3 linked regions of the Anolis sagrei genome follow. The protein of the gene in region 3 purifies or fractionates together with the protein of the main gene of each other region. This does not show direct contact. Links are inferred from orthologs where the notes say so. Each region holds a gene or a part of one and is shown on either strand. Other genes may lie near its edges.

Evidence for each region.
Region 1: the proteins of RBPJ (region 3) and MAML1 purify together in Homo sapiens (co-immunoprecipitation; 12 studies listed by BioGRID and IntAct, counting the BioPlex papers as one, with this or other methods). This does not show direct contact. The link is inferred for Anolis sagrei from reciprocal best matches to the Homo sapiens genes RBPJ and MAML1.
Region 2: the proteins of RBPJ (region 3) and FBXO42 purify together in Homo sapiens (affinity purification with mass spectrometry; 3 studies listed by BioGRID and IntAct, counting the BioPlex papers as one, with this or other methods). This does not show direct contact. The link is inferred for Anolis sagrei from reciprocal best matches to the Homo sapiens genes RBPJ and FBXO42.

What each region holds. Positions count from the first base shown.
Region 1 is NC_090022.1:86,839,847-86,847,174, reverse strand, and holds the start of MAML1 (mastermind-like protein 1), read left to right. Parts: upstream 1-4,297; 5' UTR 4,298-4,577; coding exon 4,578-5,030; intron 5,031-7,328. Other genes in the region: CANX (calnexin), read left to right, coding at 1-26. UniProt on the Homo sapiens protein: Acts as a transcriptional coactivator for NOTCH proteins. Has been shown to amplify NOTCH-induced transcription of HES1. Enhances phosphorylation and proteolytic turnover of the NOTCH intracellular domain in the nucleus through interaction with CDK8.
Region 2 is NC_090033.1:7,742,590-7,750,764, forward strand, and holds the start of FBXO42 (F-box only protein 42), read right to left. Parts: upstream 3,032-8,175; 5' UTR 2,858-3,031; intron 1-2,857. Other genes in the region: SZRD1 (SUZ RNA-binding domain-containing), read left to right, coding at 4,611-4,661, 4,819-4,868, 7,439-7,732. UniProt on the Homo sapiens protein: Substrate-recognition component of some SCF (SKP1-CUL1-F-box protein)-type E3 ubiquitin ligase complex. Specifically recognizes p53/TP53, promoting its ubiquitination and degradation.
Region 3 is NC_090025.1:113,055,613-113,063,524, reverse strand, and holds the start of RBPJ (recombining binding protein suppressor of hairless), read right to left. Parts: upstream 3,156-7,912; 5' UTR 3,129-3,155; coding exon 3,025-3,128; intron 2,963-3,024; exon of another isoform or gene 2,876-2,962; intron 1-2,875. UniProt on the Homo sapiens protein: Transcriptional regulator that plays a central role in Notch signaling, a signaling pathway involved in cell-cell communication that regulates a broad spectrum of cell-fate determinations.

The DNA.
Region 1 (7,328 bases), on a different chromosome or scaffold from region 3:
GAAACAGAAAACCAAGAAAAGATTGAAATATCTTAAGAACTTGATCTGATTCATTTTCCCCAACATGGTTTTGGGAGAGGACCTTGGATACTTTTTGCTGAAACTCAAAAAACCTCAAGATTCACCATCCACAGGTTCCTGTCAAATGCTCTCCAGTGTAAATGGGTGTTTAGCGGTCAAATACTTGCATTGTGTTTTTAAGTAGAAAAATCCTGTAGAAAAAGAATGCATTTAACACAACCCAGCTATAAATTTCTGGAATGTTACAAGAACTAACATTTTTCTTTGTTTTTAAATAGAATGATAGAATTGCCAGTCTCAAAACCTTGGCTTAAATTAATGTATTAATCTGTCAATGGAAATGAACACCAACCCTTAGAAAAATACTACATATACAATTTTATATATTTTTTTGTAAACATGGACATTTTTATTGAACATTTATTTCCCTTAGTTTGATCATGTTAAAGTAAATGAGTCAATGCCATTACCTTCATGTTTCCAGTTCATTCAATGAAAGCAGAAGTTAAAATCCTTTAAGATAATTTTTTTCAAGTCCTTCTTTCTTGTTGGTGGAAAAACCACAATGAGGCCATGAAATCTATATGTTGGCCATGGGCACTGCCCAGGTTAAACAGTATTCATAATCAGCCTAACTTTGGGAGCAGATTTTGGTTTAGGGTACAAAGATTAAGGTTGGACCGTCTTCTTGCTTTAGGCCTTAAATTGTCTTCAGTATGAGGTTTGTCTTCTTTCTTTTTACAATTTCCCCTGTGGTTTTAAAAGCTCCTTCCTCTTTCTATCTGTTGCTGTGCAATTCCTTCAGAATGCAGCTTAGTTGCTGTAAACTACATATGTTCAACTCACTGTTCAGTCTATAGTGTGCTTTTTTAAAAAAAACAAAACCCTGCAAACCTAGAATTACTTATTTCTGGGTTCTAAACACTGTGGAATGGACAGTGTTGCTAATTTTCTAATTGTGCCTGTTGTATGTACATTCATTCACAGTGATCAGGCAATCTAAATAGACTTACATTGAATGGAAATATCAGTATTTGAAGCTGAGGAAGGAGCATGTGAAAACTCATTGGGTCTATGAAACATACTGCTATTCATGTATCAAACCATTGTGAATGTAGGGATTTCCAGTTCCAGCTAAATAAATTCTTAAAAGTGTATTGCATTTGAGTATCTAACCATTCAGAATCCCACTTTGAATGGATTGCAGATGATCATCTTAAATATCTCTAAAGATGAAACTCAGTTCTGGTGGTGAGAGATAGGAGATAATAGAAGAAAAATGCTTCATCGACAGTAGGCTACTGTTTGCTCATAGGGGCAAACCTGTTGTAAGTGCACTGAATACAACACTTCCAAGTTTATCAGAGAAACCAAACTGAGAATTTTGCTGCCTGCAAAATATGACTGTCGTGTCCAAACATGTAATCATAAATGTGCTATGGAGCTTCTTGATTTAGTCAGTGCATAGTTTGTTTTTAAATGAAGCTTTAAAATCTACTTAAGGACTATTTTGCTTTTAAAAGCCAGATTGTTGCATCTTGTAACATTTTCTAGTTCCTTGATTTTTCCACATGCTGCCGCATTTGAAGCTACAGAACTTGCAGACTGTGCTTGAATCATTTGCTCTTTTTAGTTGTTCAGGCACTGGATAAAAATACTGTTCATAGCTGCCTCGCATCCATTTTTTTCTGCACTTGCATTGGGTATTTAACAACTCGGAGTTAGAACTAATTTTAATGCTTGAGTTAATGCTGTCTTTTGAAGAAGCTGTTTTGTTCCTTTATTTTTCCATAGAACACATATTCCTTTCTTTCCAAAATAGTTGCTGAAATGAACTTCTTTTTAGATAATGTCAGGAGGCAATGCTTAATCTAAAGCTAAAGGTGTAATACGTTTGATATTCACAGGGGTTTCTCCAGAATGCTCTGCTGTTTGCATGTTTTGGCTTTTTTATGTCAGCAAAATTTGCAAAGGCACTACAATAACTTTTGTTTTTAAAGTTTATGTATTTCAAAAATCTTGATCCCAATGTGTCTTGGTGAATCCATATTACAGAATATTCTACACCAGGAAAATATCATATCTGCTATCTTGAAGTTAAACAAGAGTTCATGTATTATGAAGTTGTTGAGTTTCCAAATAATTGAAGTGCTGTGACTTGAAGGATGGTTATTTTTTTAAGTTTGAAGAAAGTATATTTGGATGTATGAAATATTTTGTGCTGATAGAGTTGAACTGATAGCAGGAAAATAATTCCATATATTAAGACCATATAGAAAATGTATTATTGCACAGAAGGGAATAGCAAGGTGAATGGGATGTTAGACTACTTACTTGATTTTTATTTTGTTCAGAAAATAAAGACCATCACAGCAGCTTCAAATCCATTGGTGTTAGTGTGTTGGGTAAAAGTAGACACTTTTTCATCAAGATAACGTTCTTTGATGAACAACTGGTCTTTCTGAAAATAACACTGCAAAGTTGCACATGTTTAAAATGCTGATGTAAAATGCACTGAGTTTCATATGTGGATGTTGCAGATGACAGGGGAATCATATACAATCAACCATTAATGAGGAAAAAGTACCCTGGGTCTTGAAAGCTTAGCTCCACTTGATTTGTGGCAGTAAATATGGTGCTTTTTCTTGGCACCCTTCTGCCTTCTCTTCAGCTATAGTCTTCTAATGCCAGTATTGCCTCCATACAAGTTTCAGATGCAACCCCCCTTAAAGTGTTGGAAAAAAAGACTGTGATTTTCTCATAAGTCCTGACTGTTATAAAAATGATAAATCTGAAGATGCAGTATGCATATAAATATATTGGTTAAGTTATGAACAAATGTAAGCATACTCTGATTAATAAAGAAACATAAACCACTATTTTCTATTGTCTAGTTTACTATAATGTTTTTAATCTTTGGAGTTTAGTATTAGGGCATGAATAAGAGACCAAATGGTTCTGAAAGAACTAAATATCATGCAAAAAACATGTTGGTCTAGCTTTCCGTTTGAGATGTACTGAAAATACATCTAGCTTAATGTTTTAAAACAAAAGATTCCATCTTGATTCATTTGTAGATTTCCGTGTGTGCCCATGCCTTCAAGTCATCTCTGTTAGGCAAGGAATATTCAGATGGTGGTTTGCCAATTCCTTCCTCTAAAATCTGGCACTCGTTGACTGTTTCCCATCAAGTACTGTTCAGAGCTTAACCTGCTTAGTTTACACAATCAGCTGAGATAATAACTTCAGCGTTAACTAAATTGAATTAATCGGTATTTTTTTTAAAAAAAAATAGTTCAAGTAAACATATAATGAGCTTTTAGAGGTCTAAGTCACCTGAATTATTTTAAAAAATTGTCTTGCTCTTCAAAATGTGTCTTATTCAGTCTGTTAGTATTGGTAATTATGGACATGATGGGAAATGCAGTTCTACAAGCTGTCAGGAAATTTATTTCAATTTATTTATTTATTTCCATTCAATTGATAAAACCTTGTTCTCCAGTTTGCTTTGTATATCTTTTGCTGTGAGGTATATTGTAATGGTTAGAAGATGCACGAATGCAAAAGCTTGAAAAGGTCATTAATTGAAGTCTGAAGGGGGGGGGGGGTGTCTTGTAAGTACTGTTTCTCTAGTAATCTTTTTAAAAGGACAATCTGATTTGACTTCTGGCTGTCCTGAGGGGAGCTCTGTCCTTTTTGTACTCTATGAAGTCGCCTCTCCCAGCTTTCCTTTTCCCATTCAGAGGAACAGCATACAAATATAAGAACTTCCTAACGATGAGAGCTGTTCAGCAGTGGAACTCTCTGCCCCAGAGTGTGGTGGGGGCTCATTTGGAGGCTTTTAAACCAGTGGGTCTCCAGATGTTTTGGCCTTGAACTCTCACAGCAGGTAAATGGCTGGGATTTCTGTAAGTTGTAAGCTGAGGGGACCAACAGGTTGAGAAATAATGCTGGGTGGGCATCTGTAGGAGGCGGGGGGCTTTGAATGCGATTTTCCTGCTTCTTGACGGGGTTAGACTGGATGGCCCAGTAAGTCTCTCCCAACTCTAGGATTCTATGATTCTAGCTTCCATTTGATTGGGCGGGGTCAATCATGAAGCCCCGCCCCTTATCTTCTTCCGGAAAGGTGGGGGGAGGGGGAGACGGAAAAGCTCGGGTGAAAAAAAGTTCCCTCCTTCCCCATCCCGTCCTCCTCCTGCACTATTGGCTGGCCCGAATGCCAGTCAAAGCGCAGCAGCCAGTGAGCTCGCGGGTCGTGACGCCGCCGCCGCGTCGGGAAGCCCGCCCCCTCGGAGCTGGGGGAAGGGAGGCAAAGGGGGCAAAGCCATTCCAAGATGGCGGCGGCCGAGGCGAGGATAACAATGGGTCTGGGGAGGCCGGGGCGCCTTTGGGCCTGAGGCAGGGAGCGGGGCCTGGTGCGGCCTAGCGGAGGAGAAGGAGGCGGCGCTGAAGTTGGGACCAAGGGCAGGCCGGTGCTCGGACATGGCGCCGCCGCCCCCGCCGGCTTGGTGAGTCCCTCTCCCTCGTCTCCGTCCTCTCCTCTGGCCTCGCCTCCTATGGTCCTGGCCCCTTCCCCGATGGCGGAGTTCGCGGTGCCGCGGCACAGCGCGGTGATGGAGCGCCTCCGCCGGCGGATCGAGCTCTGCCGGCGGCACCACAGCGCCTGCGAGTCCCGCTACCAGGCCGTCTCCCCGGAGCGCCTGGAGCTGGAGCGCCAGCAGACCTTCGCCCTCCACCAGCGCTGCCTCCAGGCCAAGGCCAAGCGCGCCGGGAAGCACCGCCAGCCCCCGCCGCCCCCGCAGGCCCAGGCCCCACCAGCCGCGGCCTCCGCCGGAGCAGCCCCCTCGGCGCCCGCCGCCCCCGCCGCGCAGGCCCCGGGCCCCGCCGCCCCCTCCTCCGCCCCCGCCAACGGGCTGGACGCCGACGCCGCGGGCGGGGAGCAGGCCCAGCAGCAGCAGCAACACGGGGGCCGGAGCAGCAGCAGCAGCAGCAGCAGCGCCCTCATCGCGGTGAGTAAGGAGCAGCAGGCCCCTCTCGACCATTTAAAAGGAAGTTCTACTTCCAAGTGAACTCTCCCCCGAGTTTGAGCGCCTCCCGGCCTCTTTCCTTCTCTCCCACCCTGGGCAGGAAGCAGCCAGGCAAGGCACTGCTCCCCCACCGCCTTCCCTTCTCCCATTCAGGCACCAGTCCTCCCTCTCTCTCCTTGGTAGGCAAAGTCCCCACTCCTTAGACTTCCAGTTGAGTTGAGGACAAAATAAGAGTGTCAACTGATTTCTTTCAAGTGCCAAGGCGATATCTTGGCTCCTCCAGATTAACGTGGTGTTGTTTTTGTTGTTATTTGTTTATTATTTATTTATTTACTCTATTTAAATACCGCTTTTCTCACCCCAGGAGAGAACTCGAAGCGGTTTACAACAAATAGTGGCAAAATTCACCCTCACATACATAAGAAGCCAAATAATAAATCTAAACAAAATCAAACAAGAAGTAAATATGGAATATGTGTAATGGACATCTGGAATGGCCCAGTCTATGAGTTTGGATCATGTGATTTTAATGTTTTTATTAGGTGTCTGTAATTTTTTTACTTCAGGTTTAAATGTCCTATTACATTAATAACATTACAATATAATGGTATGGTACAATATAGTAATATATACTGATATTGTACTTTGCTAATAATATAATATAATATATTGTATAATATAATATAATATATTGTATGAAAATATATATTGTAAGCCGCTCTGAGTCCCCTTCGGGGTGAGAAGGGCGGCATATAAGCATCGCAAATAAATAAATAAATAAATAAATATTATCTTATGGGGAATTAGCCGTATTGTATTTTATGCTTAGTCGTATGCTGTTTGATTTATGATTTGGTTGATGTATGTAAGGCAGGCAGCCACAAACTGCGGCCATTCAGATGTTTAGGCCCCTCCATCTCCCAGAAGCCTAATGACCTGGTTCAGTTGTCAAAAATTCTGGGAGTTGAAGGCCCAAACAGCTGGAGGGCCACAGTTTGAGGATGCCTGATGTAAGGCATTGAATTTTGCCATTAGGTTTTGTAAACGGCTTTGAGTCTTCCCAGAGGTGAGAAAAGCGATACATAAATATTGTAAATAATAAATGAATAAATAAAATTGCATTAAAATCAATAAGACAATTTAACATAAGATAAAACAAAATTTAGGCATGAGGACATAAACATTCAAACCACCTAATATGAACATTAAAATCACATGATCCAAACTCTTAGACCAGGGCCATTCCAGACATCGATTGCACATATTCCATATTTATTTCTAGTACTGCGTTACTTTATTAGCCAAAAATTTGGCTCCATAACTATATCTTTGTTCTCTTTCTAAAGGCCAGGAGGGAGGGCACTGATCTAATCTCACTGGGGAGAGAGTTCCAGAGCCAAGGAGCCACCACTGAGAAGGCCCTGTCTTTCGTCCCCACCAACCGCACTTGCGAAGCAGGTTTTACTGAGAGCAGGGCCTCCCCAGAAGATCTTAACCTTTGTTTTAACAACAGCAACAACAACAATGTTGTGAAGAATGTAAGATCTGGCTTGAGGGGCCAGAGTAGGCCTGCAAGGTTGTTTTGCCTTCATATCCTCTCTTCCTCCCTCCCCTTAGAATAACTCCTTGTATATCAGCATGTGTCCCTTTCACCTATTTAGAAGGAGGTTATATTTTGAAGTGAACTATGAACCTTCTTCCCCTGAGTTTGAACAGAGTAAAACTGAAATACTAGGTGGCACTGTTGTCCCTCCATTGCATCTTGAATTTCCCGTTCTGGGCAGGAAGTCGCACAACAGCCCAGTAACCAGTCAAGTCAAAAGAGTAATTGTTCTGCTATTCACTTAAGCCTTGCCCATGGATGACATCTTCTCCCATTCATTTCGGGCACAAATCGTCGTCCTAGTTGGTAGAAAAGTAGTAACTCCTAGACTTGCAGTTGAATAGTGGCCAAAATAAAGGGTACACTGGATTCTTTCAAGTTTCAAGGGGAAAACTTCAGTTTATTGCTGTGTTGTTGTTGTTTTTTTTTACTGTTACTCACTTTTATAACAAAAAGAGGAACTAGTGAAATGTAAGATCTGACTGCAGGGGCTGAAGTAGACCTGAGGGGTTGTGTTGCCCCCAAGGCACCTCCACCCCATCACCCTTTAACATAGCTTCTGGTGTGTGTGTGTATGTGTGCCTTATTTAAAAGGAAGTTGTCCTTTGAACTATGAACCTTCTTCTAAGTTTGAACAGAGTAAAATTAAAATACTAGGTGGCACTTTTGTCCCTCCA
Region 2 (8,175 bases), on a different chromosome or scaffold from region 3:
GGAGCCCACCTGCAGTTGCAGAGTTCAACAAAAGTCTGTTTACAAATCAGAGCCAAGCAGGAGAAGCACAAAGTCCTCCTGACACAGATGGTTATCCAACTGTTGTAGATCAGCTACCAGAGGCTGGTGGTATAACTGATGATTTAGAGAGGATTGTGAGCTTTCCTGTGGCACAAAGCGATGGGCTCTCAAACCCGGGAAATGATGGTTCTCTCTGTGAGAAACCTGGCTCGGAAAGTGCAGGGCCTCAAGGGCATGCATTCAGGGGAGTCAGAAGTAGCAACAGCTGATAAGGGATCGAGTGAAAAGCTGAGTGACAAGGAGGGTTCCCAGAGGAGCCCACCTGCAGCTGAAGAGTTCAACAAAAGTCTGTTTACAAATCAGAGCCAAGCAGGAGAAGCACAAAGTCCTCCTGACACAGATGGTTACCCAACCATTGTAGATCAGCCACCAGAGGCTGGTGGTATAACTGATGATTTAGAGAGGATTGTGAGCTTTCCTGTGGCACAAAGTGATGGGCTCTCAAGTCTGAGAAATGATTTTATTTATTTATTTATTTATTTGTTTTTACGGTATTTGTATACCGCTTTTCTCACTCCGAGGGGGACTCAAAGCAGTTTACACATAAGTAATGGCAAAATTCAATGCCAGTACAAACAATTATAATTCTGTGAGAAAACTGGCTCGGAAAGTGCAGGGCCTCAGGGTCATTCATTCAGAGGAGTCAGAAGTAGCAACAGCAGATAAGGAATTGAGTGAAGAACTGAGCGATAAAGAGGGTTCCTAGGGGAACCCACCTGTAACTATGGAGATCAACAAAAGTCTTTGTTTACAAATCAGAGCCAAGCAGGAAAAGAACAAAGCCCTCCTGACAGATAGCTGCCCAACTATTATAGATAGGCCACCAGAGGCTGGTGGTTTCACTGATGACTTAGAGAGAATTTTGGGCTTTCCCGTGGCACAAAGCGATGGGCTCTCAAGTCTGGGAAATTCAAGTATAGGAAATGATGGTTCTCTTTATGGATAAACTAGCTCAGAAAGTGCAGGGCTTCAAGGGCATTCATTCAGAGGAGTCAGAAGTGGCAACATCAGATAAGGAATTGAGTGAAGAACTGAGCGATAAGGAGGGTTCCCAGGGAAACCCACCTGTAACTATGGAGATCAACAAAAGTCTGTTTACAAATCAGAGCCAAGCAAGAAAGGAACAAAGCCCTCCTGACAGATACCTTTCCAACTGTTATAGATCAGCCACCAGAAGCTGGTGGTTTCACTGATGATTTAGAGAGGATTTGGGGCTTTCCCGTGGCACAAAGCGATGGGCTCTCAAGTCTGGGAAATTCAAGTCTAGGAAATGAGGATAAGGGCATTCATTCAGGGGAGTCAGAAGTAGCAACAGCAGATAAGGGATCGAGTGAAAAGCTGAGCGATAAGGAAGGTTCCCATGGGAAACTATCTGTACTTACAGAGATCGTTTACAAATCACAGCTGAAAATAGACTGTGCCATTCAGAGAGAGTGCGTGGAAAAGTTGAGAAGGAAATTCACGGGAAACGGAATAATTTCATGGGTGTCGATTAAGCTGACTCTGGAAGAGCAGGGGCCTCGAGGGCGTTCACTCCGAGGAGTCAGAAATAGCAAGAGCTAAAAAGGAGTCGAGTGAAGATGAAAAGGAAATTAACGGGAAACGGAATGATTTCATGGGTGTCGATTAAACTGACTCTGGAAGTGCAGGGGCCTTGAGGGCATTCATTCCAAGGAGTCAGAAATAGCAACAGCTAATAAAGAGTCGAGTAAAGATGAGAAGGAAATTCACGGGAAATGGAATATTTTCATGGGTGTCAATTAAACTGACTCTGGAAGAGCAGGGGCCTCGAGGGCGTTCATTCCGAGGAGTCAGAGATAGCAAGAGCTAAAAAGGAGTCGAGTGAAAATGAGAAGGAAATTAACGGGAAACGGAATGATTTCATGGGTGTCGATTAAACTGACTCTGGAAGAGCAGGGGCCTCGAGGGCGTTTATTCCGAGGAGTCAGAAATAGCAACAACTAATAAAGAGTCGAGTGAAGAGCTGAGCGATAAGGAGCGAGGGAGATTGTAGCAAGGGAGATTGTTTACAAATCAGAATCCAAAACAGATTGCGTTGTACAGAGAGATTACGTGGAAACGTTGTGATGGAAGTTCACGGAAAACGGAATGATTTCATGGGTGTCTATTAAACAAGACATCGTTGACGCTATGGGCTGTTAGGAATCGGGAGTCTAAAACACCTGGATTCTCCCGACAGCAGGTCTGAATTTTTAGCAAGCATGGGCCAACTTCGGCCTTCCCTCCAGGTGTTTTGGACTTCAACTCCCACAATTCCTAACAGCCGGTAGGCTGTTAGGAATTGTGGGAGTTGAAGTCCAAAACACCTGGAGGGAAGGCCGAAGTTGGCCCATGCCTGATCTATAGGATGTTGGTTGGGAGCCCAAATCACCAGGCCTGGATCTATTCTATAGACTGTTAGGAATGCTGGGAGTTGGAGTCCAAAACACCTGGAGGGAAGGCCGAAGTTGGCCCATTCCTGATCTATAGGATGTTGGTTGGGAGCCCAAAACACCAGGCCTGGATCTATTCTATAGACTGTTGGGAATGCTGGGAGTTGGAGTCCAAAACACAGGAAGGCCCAGGCCTACTGTCTGGAGAGGCGGGACAGGCCTCAGGGACTCCAACTCCCAGAATGCCCGGCCGTGGTCCCAACCGGCGGGGGCTGCTGGGAGTTGTAGTCCAGAGGCCTGGGCGCCTCTCAGCGGGGCGCTCCGTTTCTGCCACATCACGAGAGGGCGGGGCCAGGGGCCGGAAGGGGGGCTGCTGGCCTCACCTGCCGCTTCCGCGCTCCCTCTCCCTCCTCAGAGCCGCCTTCGGTTCCTCCGGGCCGGGCGCCCACAGCAGCGCCAGCCGCCTTCTCGGGGTTCCCCCGCCTGAGCCCTCCCGGCCACCGTCTCCGCCGCCATCGCTCGGCTCAGGGGCGGGGACGAGGCCAACGCGCAGGCGCCTCCCGCCGTCACGTGGGGCCTGCGCGGGCGCCATCTTGGTTGCCCCCTCGTCAGGGCGGCGCCATCTTGGGAAGGATTGTGACGCCATCTTGGCTCCTCCCCCTATCGACCAATACTCAGTTTCGGTGTTTTGGGATACTGCGCATGCGCCACACTGGTGAAGGAATTCAGGTTCTTTCGTGTATCCGATTTTTCCTACTTCGGGATACTGCGCATGCGCCACACTGGTGAAGGAATTCGCGCCACTGCGCACGCGCAAAACCAAAACCGGCCCCTCCCTATATGGAAGCAGCGGAGGCACCTAAAGATACTGCGCATGCGCCACGCCGCTGAATGCATGCCCGCTCTCGGGGTGAATGGCGCCACTGCGCATGCGTGAATTGGCACTTTCTCTACACACGGAGAGTGGAGACACTTTGGGATATGGAAGGAGTCCCTGCTCTCAGAGCGAGGGGCGACACTGCGCACGCGCGAACTCGCGCCTTTCGCGGAGGCACATAGGAATACTGCGCATGCGCCATACAGCTGAAGGAATCACTGCGCACGCGCGAATTCGCACCTTTCTACATTGAGACATATAGAAATACTGCGCATATGTCACACAGCTGAAGGAATCCCTGCTCGCACAGCGAGAGGTAACACTGCGCACGCGCGAACTCGCACCGTTCGCAGAGGCTCATAGGGATACTGCGCATGCGCCGTACAGCTGAAGGCATCCCTGCGACACTGCGCACGCGCGAACTCGCACCTTTCTACAGTGAGACATATAGGGATACTGCGCATGCGTCACACAGCTAAAGGAATCCCTCTCAGAGCGAGGAACGACACTGCGCACGCGCGAACTCGCACCTTTCCATATTGAGACATATAGGGATATTGCGCATGCGTCACACAGCTAAAGGAATCCCTCTCAGAGCGAGGAGCGACCCTGCGCACGCGCGAACTCGCACCTTTCTATATTGAGACAGATAGGGATAGTGCGCATGCGTCACACAGCTGGAGGAATCCTTGCTTTGAGCGAGGGGCGACACTGCGCACGCGGGAACTCGCACCTTTCTACATTGAGACATATAGAGATATTGCGCATGCGTCACACAGCTGAAGGAATCCCTGCTCTGAGCGAGGGGCGACACTGCGCACGCGCGACCTCGCACCTTTCTACATTGAGACATTGAGAAGGAATCCCTGCGCTGAGCGAGGGGCGACACTGCGCACGCGCGAACCCCCACCTTTCCACATGCAGGCACATGTGGATACTGCGCATGCGCCACACGGCTGAAGGGATTGCCCGAGCTCTCAGGGGCGCCACTGCGCACGCGCACACGGGCACCTTTCCCTACATGGGGCGGAGCGAGGAAGGGCACGGCTCCAACCGCGCATGCTCCGCCCGACGAAAAGGGTAGGAGCCCGGGAAGCCGCGCATGCGCTCTTGTTCGGGGGGCGGCGAGCGAGGAGCCTCAGCGGCGGCGAGGGCGAGGGGCAAAAAGAAGGGAAGGGGAGCGAGGGAAGGAAGGAAGGAAGGGGCGGCTTAGCGCGCATGCGCCTCGAGCGGGCTGGCGGCGGCGGAGGGGCCTGACGATGGAAGATGAGGAGGTCGCGGAGAGCTGGGAGGAGGCGGCCGACAGCGGGGTGAGGAGGAGGAGGCGCAGGCTTCGGGGCGCCTGCTAGGCCTCTTAAAGGGGCCGCGCCCTCCCACGTGCGCTTGCCTGCCTGCCTTCAAGGGGGAGGAGGCCTGGCTTCCTTCGTTGAGGGGGGTCTCCTCAAACGCCCCTTTTTTGCCTTGCAGGAAATAGACAGGCGGCTGGAGAAGAAGCTGAAGATCAGCCAGAAGGAGAGGTGAGGAGTTCCCTTTGTTTGGACCCCCTCCCTCTGGGCGTTTTGGACTCCCACAATTCCTAACAGCCGGTAGGCTGTTAGGAATTGTGGGAGTTGGAGTCCAAAACGCCCGGAGGGAGGGCCCAAGTTGGCCAAGGCCTGCTCTACATTTGATGTATTTACTAGCTTGCTATCCATTATTGGTATTATGATTATTATAGATTATATTATCTATTATTATTATACTATATTTATATCCCACTTTATCTCTCCCAAAGGAGACTCAGAGTGGCTATGTATCCATTACTGCTATTAGAATTATATATTATATTATTATCTATTATTATAATATTATTTTATTTATTTATACCCCACTTTATCTCTCCCGAAGAAGACTCAAAGTGTCTATGTATCCATTACTGCTATTACAATATATTAGAATTATATATTATATTATTATATTATCTATTATAATGGTATTATTGTTATATTTATTTATACCTCACTTTATCTCTCCCCAAGGAGTGTCTATGTATCCATTATTGCTATTACAATATATTAGAGTTATATATTATGTTATTATATTATCTATTATAATGCTATTATTATTGTATTTATTTATACCTCTCCCAAAGGAGAATCAAAGCCATGTATCCATTATTAGTATTGCAATGCATTATTATTATCTATTATATTATCTATTGTTATACTTATTTATAATATTATAATATTTATTTATATCCCACTTTATCTCTCCTGAAGGAGACTCAGAGTGTCTATCCATTATTGCTATTACAATATATTATAATTATATATTATATTATTATGTTGTATATTATTATAATGCTATTATTATTGTATTTATTTATACCCCACTTTATCTCTTCCGAAGGAGACTCAGAGTGCCTATGTATCCATTATTGGTATTACAATATATTACAATTATATGTTGTGTTATTATGTTATCTATTATTATTGTATTTATTTATACCCCACTTTATCTCTCCCCAAGGAGAATCAAAGCCATGTATCCATTATTAGTATTGCAATACATTATTATTATCTATTATATTTATGGTTATATTTATTTATCATATTATTGTATTTATTTATATCCCACTTTATCTCTCCTGAAGGAGACTCAGAGTGGCTATGTATCCATTATTGCTATTACAATATATTATAATTATATACTGTGTTATTATGTCATCTATTAAATTCTTCTTCTTCTTCTTCTTCTTCTTCTTCTTATTATTATTATTATTATTATTGTATTTATTTATACCCCACTTTATCTCTTCCGAAAGGAGACTCAGAGTGTCTATGTATCCATTATTGCTATTATAATATATTATAATTATATATTATATTATTATGTTGTCTATTATAATATTATAATTTTATTTATTTATTTATTTAAAACGTTTATACCCCACTTTATTTTTTCCAAAGGAGACTCAGAGTGGCTATGTATCCATTATTGGTATTACAATATATTACCATTATATATTATGTTATCTATTATTATAATATTATTATTATTATTGAATTTATTTATTCCCCACTTTATCTCTCCCGAAGGAGACTCAAAGTGGAAGTGTATCCATTATTGCTATTAAATATTTTGCTAAACGTCGCCGCATTGCCCACTGCCCACAAACATACATACATATTTATTTATTATTTATTTACCGTATTTGTATACCACCAATTGGCGACTCAAGGCGGTTTCTAACAAATCAGTATACATAAAACGTAATAGATAAAAAACATTAAACAGTATAAAACGTCATAAAAGCAACATCATCAGCGTCTCATTATTCTCAAGCATTGTCCAATTCCATTGTCAGGTCATTCGATTTCCTATATTAGCTACTCTGTATTTGTAAACGCTTGCTCGAATAGCCATGTTTTAACTTGCCTCCGAAACGTCAAGAGGGAGGGAGCAGATCTGATTTCCCTAGGGAGGGCATTCCATAGCTGAGGGTCCACCACTAAGAAGGTCCTGTCTCTCACCCCCGCCAAACATGCTTGTGACAAAGGTGGGACCGAGAGCAGGGCCTCTCCAGATGATCTTAAAGTCCTAAGTGGTTCATAAGGGGAGATACGTTTGGACAGGTAAGTTGGGCCAGAACCGTTTAGGGCTTTATAGGCCAAAGCCAGCACTTTGAATTGGGCCCAGTAGCAAACTGGCAGCCAGTGGAGCTGGCGCAACAAACATTCACTTTTATTACGACTGGCTTGTTAAGAATGGTGGGAGTTGCAGTCCAAAACACCTGGAGGGAAGGCTGAAGTTGGCCCATGCCTGCTCTAAACCCTTTGTCCTTTGGTTGTGCCTATTGTAATTCTATATTGCTATGTTTTCACATGCTTTGTGTAATTATGTTGTTGTTATTGTTTGCATTTTCAGTTTTATTTTATTGTAATTTGCGGTTTGGGCTTGGCCTCATATAAGCCGCTCCGAGTCCCCATCGGGGAGATGGTGGCGGGGTATAAATAAAGATTATTATTATTATTATTTATTTGCTGCTTCCTTCCTGTCCTAGCACGTCGTTGTCGTCCTGACTGGCTCAGTCTATTTCTTTCCGCAGCCGGAAGCCGCGCTCCCCGCCGAAGGCCCCCCCAGTGGTGCTGCAGGACGAGGGCCTTCCCTTGGCGGGGCCCCCTCCCCAGATCCGCATCCTGAAGCGTCCCACCAGCAACGGGGTCTTGGGCAGCCCTCGCACCGCCAGCCGGCCCGCCTTCCCCGTCAAGTCCCTGGCCCAGAGGGAGGCCGAGTACGCCGAGGCTCGCAAGCGCATCCTGGGCAGTGCCAGCCCCGAGGAGGAGGAGGAGGACGACGAGGAGCAGCAGCAGCGCGGGCCCGACAAGCCCCTCCTCGACAGGTGAGGCAAGCACATTGGCCTTTGCGGATGCTGCGGTTCTGTTTAGGACAACCATACAGTCCCAGGGTTGGAAGGGTCCAAGTTCCAGGGTTGGAAGGGTTCAAGTCTCTTCTGTTGTGTTTAGGACAAGTATATGGTCCTAGGGTTGGAAGAGTTCAAGTCTCTTCTGTTAGGCAGGAAGGACACAATCAAAGCTCCCCAGAGAGCGGACCATCCTGCCAGCTTTTTCCTCATAATAATAATAACAACAACAACAATAATAATATGTCCGACATGTGATCGAATACAAAAGCCAGCAGAGTGATCTTGTTTGCTGTGTACTAATCATGTTGTGTATCTAATAATAATAATAATAATAATATAGAGTCAGAAGGGAGCCAAGGGCCATCTAGTTCCTTCTGTTGTGCAGGAAAAGCACAATCAAAGCACCCCGGAAAGATGGC
Region 3 (7,912 bases):
ATAGGCCAAAGCCAGCACTTTGAAATGTGTGTGGTAGCAAACAGGCAATAAGGGAGCTGACATAACATGGGAGTTGTGTTCTCCCTGTATGCCGCCCCAGTTAATAACCTGGCTGTCTCTCGTTGAACTATTTGAAGCTTCCAAGCAGTCTTCAAAGGCAATCCCACGTATTTATTTATTTTATTTATTTACTATATTTATATACTGTCCCTTTCAGCCCGCAGGCAACTTGGGACCGATGGTACCAACACCAAGTTGGTACCAACATCATAAAATACAATTTCAATATAATAAAACAATCGAATAATAAAACCATAACAGAATCAATAAAAATGTATCATTAGGGTCTCCTCATTAAAAACATTGTCCAGTCACATTGTTAACCATTCCACTTTTCTATTTCTGTTACCCTTTATTTGCAAATGCCTGCTCAAAGAGCCAAGCTGGAATATGTCCAGAGGAGGGCGACTAAAATGATAAAGGGTCTGGAGAACAAGCCCTATGAGGAGCGGCTTAAGGAGCTGGGCATGTTTAGCCTGAAGAAGAGAAGGCTGAGAGGAGATATGATAGCCATGTATAAATATGTGAGAGGAAGCCACAGGGAGGAGGGAGCAAGCTTGTTTTCTGCTTCCTTGCAGACTAGGACACGAAACAATGGCTTCAAACTACAAGGGAGGAGATTCCATCTGAACATAAGGAAGAACTTCCTGACTGTGAGAGCCGTGGAACTCTCTGCCCCGGAGTGTGGTGGAGGCTCCTTCTTTGGAAGCTTTTAAACAGAGGCTGGATGGCCATCTGTCAGGGGTGATTTGAATGCAATATTCCTGCTTCTTGGCAGGGGGTTGGACTGGATGGCCCATGAGGTCTCTTCCAACTCTTTGATTCTATGATTCTATGACTCTATTTAACCTTGGTCCCTTTTTGTCCTGTTTTCTTGGATAACTTTCAGTTTTTGGAACCTGTAGCTATGGACAAAATTCTTGGAGAGATGATTCTATGATTCTAACTCTCTTCCGAAATGTTAAAAGGGAGGGGGCCGATCTGATGTCCTTAAGAAGGGCGTTCCATAGCCGAGGGGCCACCACTGAGAAGGCCCTGTCTCTCGTCCCCGCCAACCATGCTTGTCATGAAGGCAGGACCGAGAGCAGGGCCTTCCCAGACAATCTTAAAGTCCTGAGAGGTTCATAAGGAGAGAAGCGTACTGCAACACATAGAGCGTGTTGCAGTAGTCTATCCTGGATGTAGTTTCCAAGCTGTCTTCAAAGGCAGCCCCAAGAAGAGAGCATTGCAGGAATACATATGAGATGTAACTAAAGCTTTGGGCCTCCAGGTGTTTTGGACTTCAACTCCCAGAAATCGCAGCCAGCTTACCACTCTGGGAGCTAAAATCCAAAACACCTGGAGGCCCAAAGGTTGGGAATCACTTATCTAAAGCATGGACCACCGTGGCCAGATCTGGCTTTTCGAGGTACAGGCGCAGTTGGTGCACAAGCTTTAATTGAGCTTCCAGGGTCAGCGCCGAGGCCAGTGTAAGCAGTGCATCCCCTCCCCCCTCCCCGATCCTCAAACACTCTCTGCTTCATTCGGGAAAATGCTACACTCGCAGAGCTCAGGCGGTGTTGTATTTCGGTGTCGATGTTGACTTTGGTGGAGAGGTGGCTGCCAAGGTAGCGGAAGTGGTCAACATTTTCTAATGTTACACCATTAAGCTGTATCTCTGGCATTGGGGAGGGGATGGCTGGCGACTGCTGGAACAGCACTTTGGTTTTTTCAATGTTCAGTGACAGGCCAACCTTCTCATATGCTTCTGCGAAGGTGTTTAGAGTGGCTTGTAGATCTTCTGAATGCGCACAGACGACATTGTCATCAGCATACTGGTATCCGTAGGGATACCAAGGTGTTTGTCTATAAAGCTATTGTCCTCCCAACCCTGCTATATGCCTGCGAAACGTGGACTGTCTACAGACGTCACATGCAACTCCTGGAACAATTCCATCAGCGCTGCCTCTGGAAAATCCTGCAAATCTCTTGGGAAGACAAGCGGACAAATGTCAGCGTGGAAGAAGAAAAAGCCACCAGCATTGAAGTGATGGTCCTCTGCCATCAACTCCGCAGGACCGGCCACATTGTCCGGATGCCTAACCACCATCTCCCAAAGCAGTTGCTCTAATCTGAACTTAAGAACGGAAAACGGAATGTTAGTGGACAGGAAAAGAGATTTAAAGATGGCCTCAAAGCCAACCTTAAAATCTCTGGCATAGACACTGAGAACTGGGAAGCCCTGGCCCTTGAGCGCTCCAGCTGGAGGTCAGCTGTGACCAGCAGTGCTGCAGAATTCGAGGAGGCACTGAGTGGAGGGTGAAAGAGAGAAACGTGCCAGGAGGAAGGCGCGTCAACCCCGACCGGGACCGCCTTCCACCTGGAAACCAATGCCTTCACTGTGGGAGAAAATGCGGGTCAAGGGCTCCACAGCCACCTACGAACCCACAAGGAAACCCATCATGGAAGACCATCTTACTCGTCCAACGAGGGATCGCCTAAGTAAACAGTGCATGGACCAAGTGGCCAAGTCAGATGTCTACCGGAATGGGTCCTCTGGGCCCTAAAAAGCCACCCTGTGCTTTGTCTGGAGAAGGGTTTCGAAGCGGGAGAGTTTTGACAGAAGAGAAAGCAGGTCCCTCAGCTCTCTCGCTTTGTGTTCCCCGCTGGGAACTCGGAGTGAGCCAGGGGCTCCACAGAGGAGCGACCGGGCCCTCACAGGCACGAGGGTCCCTATGGAAACTCGGGCAGAAAACCCCTCACACTCCTCGCCCCTCAACGGCCGAGCAACGCGGCCTCCCCCCGGCCACCCGCCCTCGCACACAACCCCACGCACCGCACACACGCTCCTCCCGGAGGAGGAAGAAAGCCCGGCCCCAGTGGGAGGCCAGGAGTGCCAGCCGAGAGGCCGAGGCCCGGCGGCCCGAGAAAGAGCGGGAGGAACCGACTACGGAGCAACTATGCCACGAACCCCCCCGCACTCACCCTGTCACAACAGGCGCCATCTTCCACAAACTCTCGCCAAAACTCCTACTCTCGCGAGAAGCGGCCAATGTGTCCGCCGCCACTAGCAGGAAAGGCGCGCGCATCCCGCATTTCCCTCCCTCCCTCCGAGAACGCGCACGCGCACGAGCGAGAAAAACAAAAGGCCGAGGGGCGGGGCTACAGGCAGAACGTTGGCCCCGCCCACGTGCTCTGCTCACTGACTCCCAGCTGCTTCCCTTTTTCCCTCGTCTCAAGAGGCAGACACAACAGGCGTGGGAACAGGAACCCAAGCCTCGCGAGTCCTCATGAATGGGAGGCAGGCGCTGACATCGCGAGAGGATAGTGATAGTAAAAAGGAGGGGTGTATGTGTATGTGTGTGTTTCCTTCCTGCCAATCATTCCGGCGCAGTGCTGTCAATAGCACTCTCCTCCCCCCCCCCCGGCCAGAGAATGGAAAGGCCCTGAAACTGAAGGGAACGTCATATTCTTTAATAGAGCCATTCGCAACGTTCTATGGACGAATCCATTAGTTAGCATGGGGGGGTTAGGGATATACCCAGCCGTTTTAAGAGGAGAAACTACAATAAACAAATAGCTTAATTCTCTTAAATAAAAAAAAATACTTCTAGGCCCATTGCTCTACTTTGTGCATTTTGGGGCTTTTGAGTTAATTTGTAACATATTTGTGTTGCACATCACTTGGACCAATGAGGAGGGCCAGAAATCCGCCTTGGTTTCTGTTCCAGAGTTTAAGGGAGCTTTCCATGGTGCTGAACTGAGTTTCCATCCATTCCAAAAATGCTCTTTTTATTGTTTTTCTTGTCTACTTGATGCGATTTTAATTCTATTGATTGTTTATTACTTCTTTACTACTTCTTTATTATGGCATTGCGTGTTTTATAATTTTTTAATGAGATGTTGTGGTTTAATTGATTATTTTTTAATGATTGTAATGTTTGTGTTCCCATTTTATTCGCCTCTTTGAGTCCCAATCTCGAAGAAAAGTAGGATAGAAATAAATTATTAATAATAATAATAACTGGAATTTTATATATATATATGTATATATATATATTCATTTTCTTAATTTAAAATTTAACATAAGAAACCCAAAGAAACAAAAACTTACATACTTACTTACTTAGGCGATCCCTCGTTGTCCGAGTAGGATTGTCTTCCAAGATCGATGTCTTAGTAGTGGGTCCATAGGTGACTGTGGAGCCCTATTTTTGATCTGCATCTTCTCCCACAGTGACAGCATCGGTTTCCAGATGGAAGGCGGTACCGGTCAGGGTTGGCTTGACGCTCCTTCCTCTTGGCACGTTTCTCTCTTTCACCCTCCATTCGTGCCTCTTCAAATTCTGCAGCACTGCTGTTCACAGCTGACCTCCAGCTGGATCACTAACAGGCCAGGGCTTCCCAGTTCTCAGTGTCTATGCCACAGTTTTTAAGGTTGGCTTTGAGCCCATCTTTAAATCTCTTTTCCTGCCCACCAATATTCTATTTTCCATTCTTGAGTTTGGAGTACAGTAACTGCTTTGGGAGACGGTGGTTGGCCATACGGACAACATGGTCCAGCAGAGTTGATGACAGAGGAGCATCACTTAAATGCTGGTGGTCTTTGCTTCTTCCAGCATGCTGACATTTGTCTGCTTGTCTTCCCAAGATATTTTTCAGAGGCAACACTGATGGAATTGTTCTAGGAGTTGCATGAGACATCTGTAGATAGTCTACGTCTCACAGGCATATAGCAGATATATATACACATACATAAATGACAACTGTATAACTAGCTACACAATTTCTCCTACAAATGTGCATCTCTACTCTAATGACATATAACTTTAAAATAGAAACTTGCATGCATAAATCTGTTTTTTAAGAGAGGATTTCCTGCTTCACTTTTGCCTATTTCTCTATAATTTAGCATTTTCTTCCTCCTCCTTATAGCCAGCAAATTATTTATTTCTGCTTGTTTTTACATTAACAAATCTCTATCCCAAGGGTTTATATCTTCAAAACTGTACACAAAGTATATTACATATAGTGTTAATTTTTTACGGAAGGTAATCCCTCCCTAGGAATGTCTAGATCCTCTAGCATGATTTTATGGTCAATGTCTATGGAAGTTAAGCATACCATCGCATTGGTGGTCCTACCAAGTCATATAAAGAACATTTTAATCAATTCCATGAATAATCAAATCTTCAAAAGTCAAACCTTCAAATGTGGGGAGCAACTATAAAAGACTGCAGCCCAAATAGTGATCCTAAGCACAGTTACAAGCCATAGTGACTGGAGTTGGATTGAGAATGCGGTTTCCAGCAGAGGAAAAAGGTCACTTGTATTTGGGATTTGCATCTTGCTGGTATATAAACCAAAGAATAGTGGAACATTTGAAGGATATGTTGGAGAGGAAAGTATGTGACTTCTACCATCCCTTACATTCCCCACCAAAGAGCCACACTCTTTGAGTCATTTTCCATATGAAATTCAACTTCGCAAATGATAGTCTATATCCATTTCAATCTGGTTTCAGGCCTGGTTATAGGACAAAGGTCTACAAATCCCTTCACAGCTCCGTTCCAGATCTGAAGGACTGTATCTCTTTCTATGAACCTGGGAGACATCTGCAATCGACTGGGGAGGGCATTCTCTCTGTCACACCATACACTCAAGGAACATAGGAGAGGGACTTCTGCACCCAAATTGTGTAACTCCCTCCCAAGAGAAACCAGGATGGCCCCATTCCTGCTCTCCTTCTGCAGACAGGTCAAGAACTTCTTCTGCCAGCAGGCATTTGGGGAAGGATAAGGGGCAAAGTGTGGGATAGTTAGCTGCCTTGAGTCCCCATGCAGAGAAAAGTGGGATATTAATAAAGTTAACAATAAATAATAAGATAGCTTTGGTCACCTTAGTGGATGACATACATGGACAACTGGACAGAGGGGAGTGTGTTTCTGTTGGTTCTCCTGGACTTTTCAGTGGCTTTTCATACCATTGACCATGGTATCCTTCTGAGTTGCCTTTCTGGAATGGGTCTGGAAGGTACTGGCTTCTGGAGTCCCTCAGAGTTCCAGTTTGCCTCCTTTTCACCTACTTCCAAGGAAGTGGTTCCTGTGCTAAACTGGTGCCTGGCAGCTGCAATGGACTGGATGAGGGCAAACAAATTGAAGCTTAATCCAGACAAGACAGAGGTGCTCTTTGTCAGTCGTAAAACAAATCTGGGAACAGAGATTCAGTCTGTGTTAGATGGGGTCACACTCCACCTGAAAACACAGGTTAACAGTTTGGGGATAATCTTGGATTTGGTTCTGAACTTGGAGGCCTAGGTACTAGCAGTAACCAGGAGTCTTTTATTAAAGCTAGTATGCCAACTGTGCCCAATCCTGGAGAAGTCAGATCTGGCCACAGTGTGGGTTACAGCCTGCTTGGACTACTGTTATGCACTCTATGGGGGGCTACCTTTGAAAAGTGCTCAGAAACTTCAGCTGGTCCAAATAGCAGTAGCCAGGTTATTAATCGGGGTTGGCAACAGGGGGTGTCCAACTCCTTTGTTGTAGCAGTTCCACTGGCTGTCAACACATTTCCGGGAACCATTCAGAGTGATACAAAGCCCTTATCTTTCTATGAACCTGCTAGATATCTAGGATCTACTAGAGAGGGCCTTGTCTGTCTCACCACCTGCTAAAGTGCATTTGGTGAGAACAGTGGAGAAGGCCTTTTCAGTGGCTTCTCCCAGACTATGGAACTCCCTCCCAGGAGAGACCCTGCTGGCCTTCTGCAGGCAAATTAAGACTTTTCTCTGCCAGCAGGCAATTGGGGAAGGAAGAGGGGAATGCTGCAGGGGAGGCTGGAAGGAGAGTCGGGGATGATATTTCATTTTAAATCTAATTTTAATTTTATGAGTTATTTTATTGAATCTTAATCATAATTTTGAATACATGACACAACTATTTAATTGCTTTTAATTGTTCTTTAACTTTTGTATTTGCCATGTTTTTAAATTTATTGGTTGTGTCATGAAATTGTAAGTTACCTTGAGAAAGGTAGAATATAAATAATAAAGAATTCTGAAACAAGGGGGGGGGATAAGTTTTCACTTGATTCTATGCTAGAAGGAAGGATATGTGATCTCCACTATTCATTACAACAGACCTCATCCTCCAGGTAAGTACAATGCTTCTTATTTGTTTGTTTGTTTAATTTATATCCCACCCTTCTTCTAGAATTGGACCAAAGCAGTCTACAAACTAACAAAATAAAATGTGGCTAATTTATGTGCTGTACAAAAAATTTGGCCTGCAGCTTTCAGGTTTTGAAAAAAGAAAGGGAGAAAAGTTTCCACACAGTAAAATCCATTGTGGCGCAATTCTGCGTACACCCACAGGAGGTTAAGTTCTTTTCAAAAGTGTGGGAGTTACCTCTGAGACAAACACATGGAACTGAAAAAAAATCTTAGAAAGGATCATGATTGCAATAAGGGAGTGTTGAATCTAATTGGGGCAACACCCTAAAGGACTCTTTTGCACTCTCTTAAGTTTGTTAAGTAACTATCAGTAAGATACTGGCTTCAGTATCAGTGACATAAAGAGGCTACACCTTGCAGGGAGTTAATAATAGGCAGGAATAACCAGTAGCATTCTCTAGTAATGTTTTAATGGGAGCTGGGATAGCTCATAATAGAAATTATGGCAAACTTCCCTCCCCAGACTGCTCCAGATGGGACTTCATTATCTCTAAGGAAGGTGTAATCAATTCATTGGAGTATAAGAATAGTATAACCATCTTAAGTCTGCTGTTTTAGGTCAGTCTGCTGGACTAAATCAAGGACAAATCTGCCCACTTCCTCAAGGTTATGGTTTTATGGGTCCTCTCAGTGAGGTAG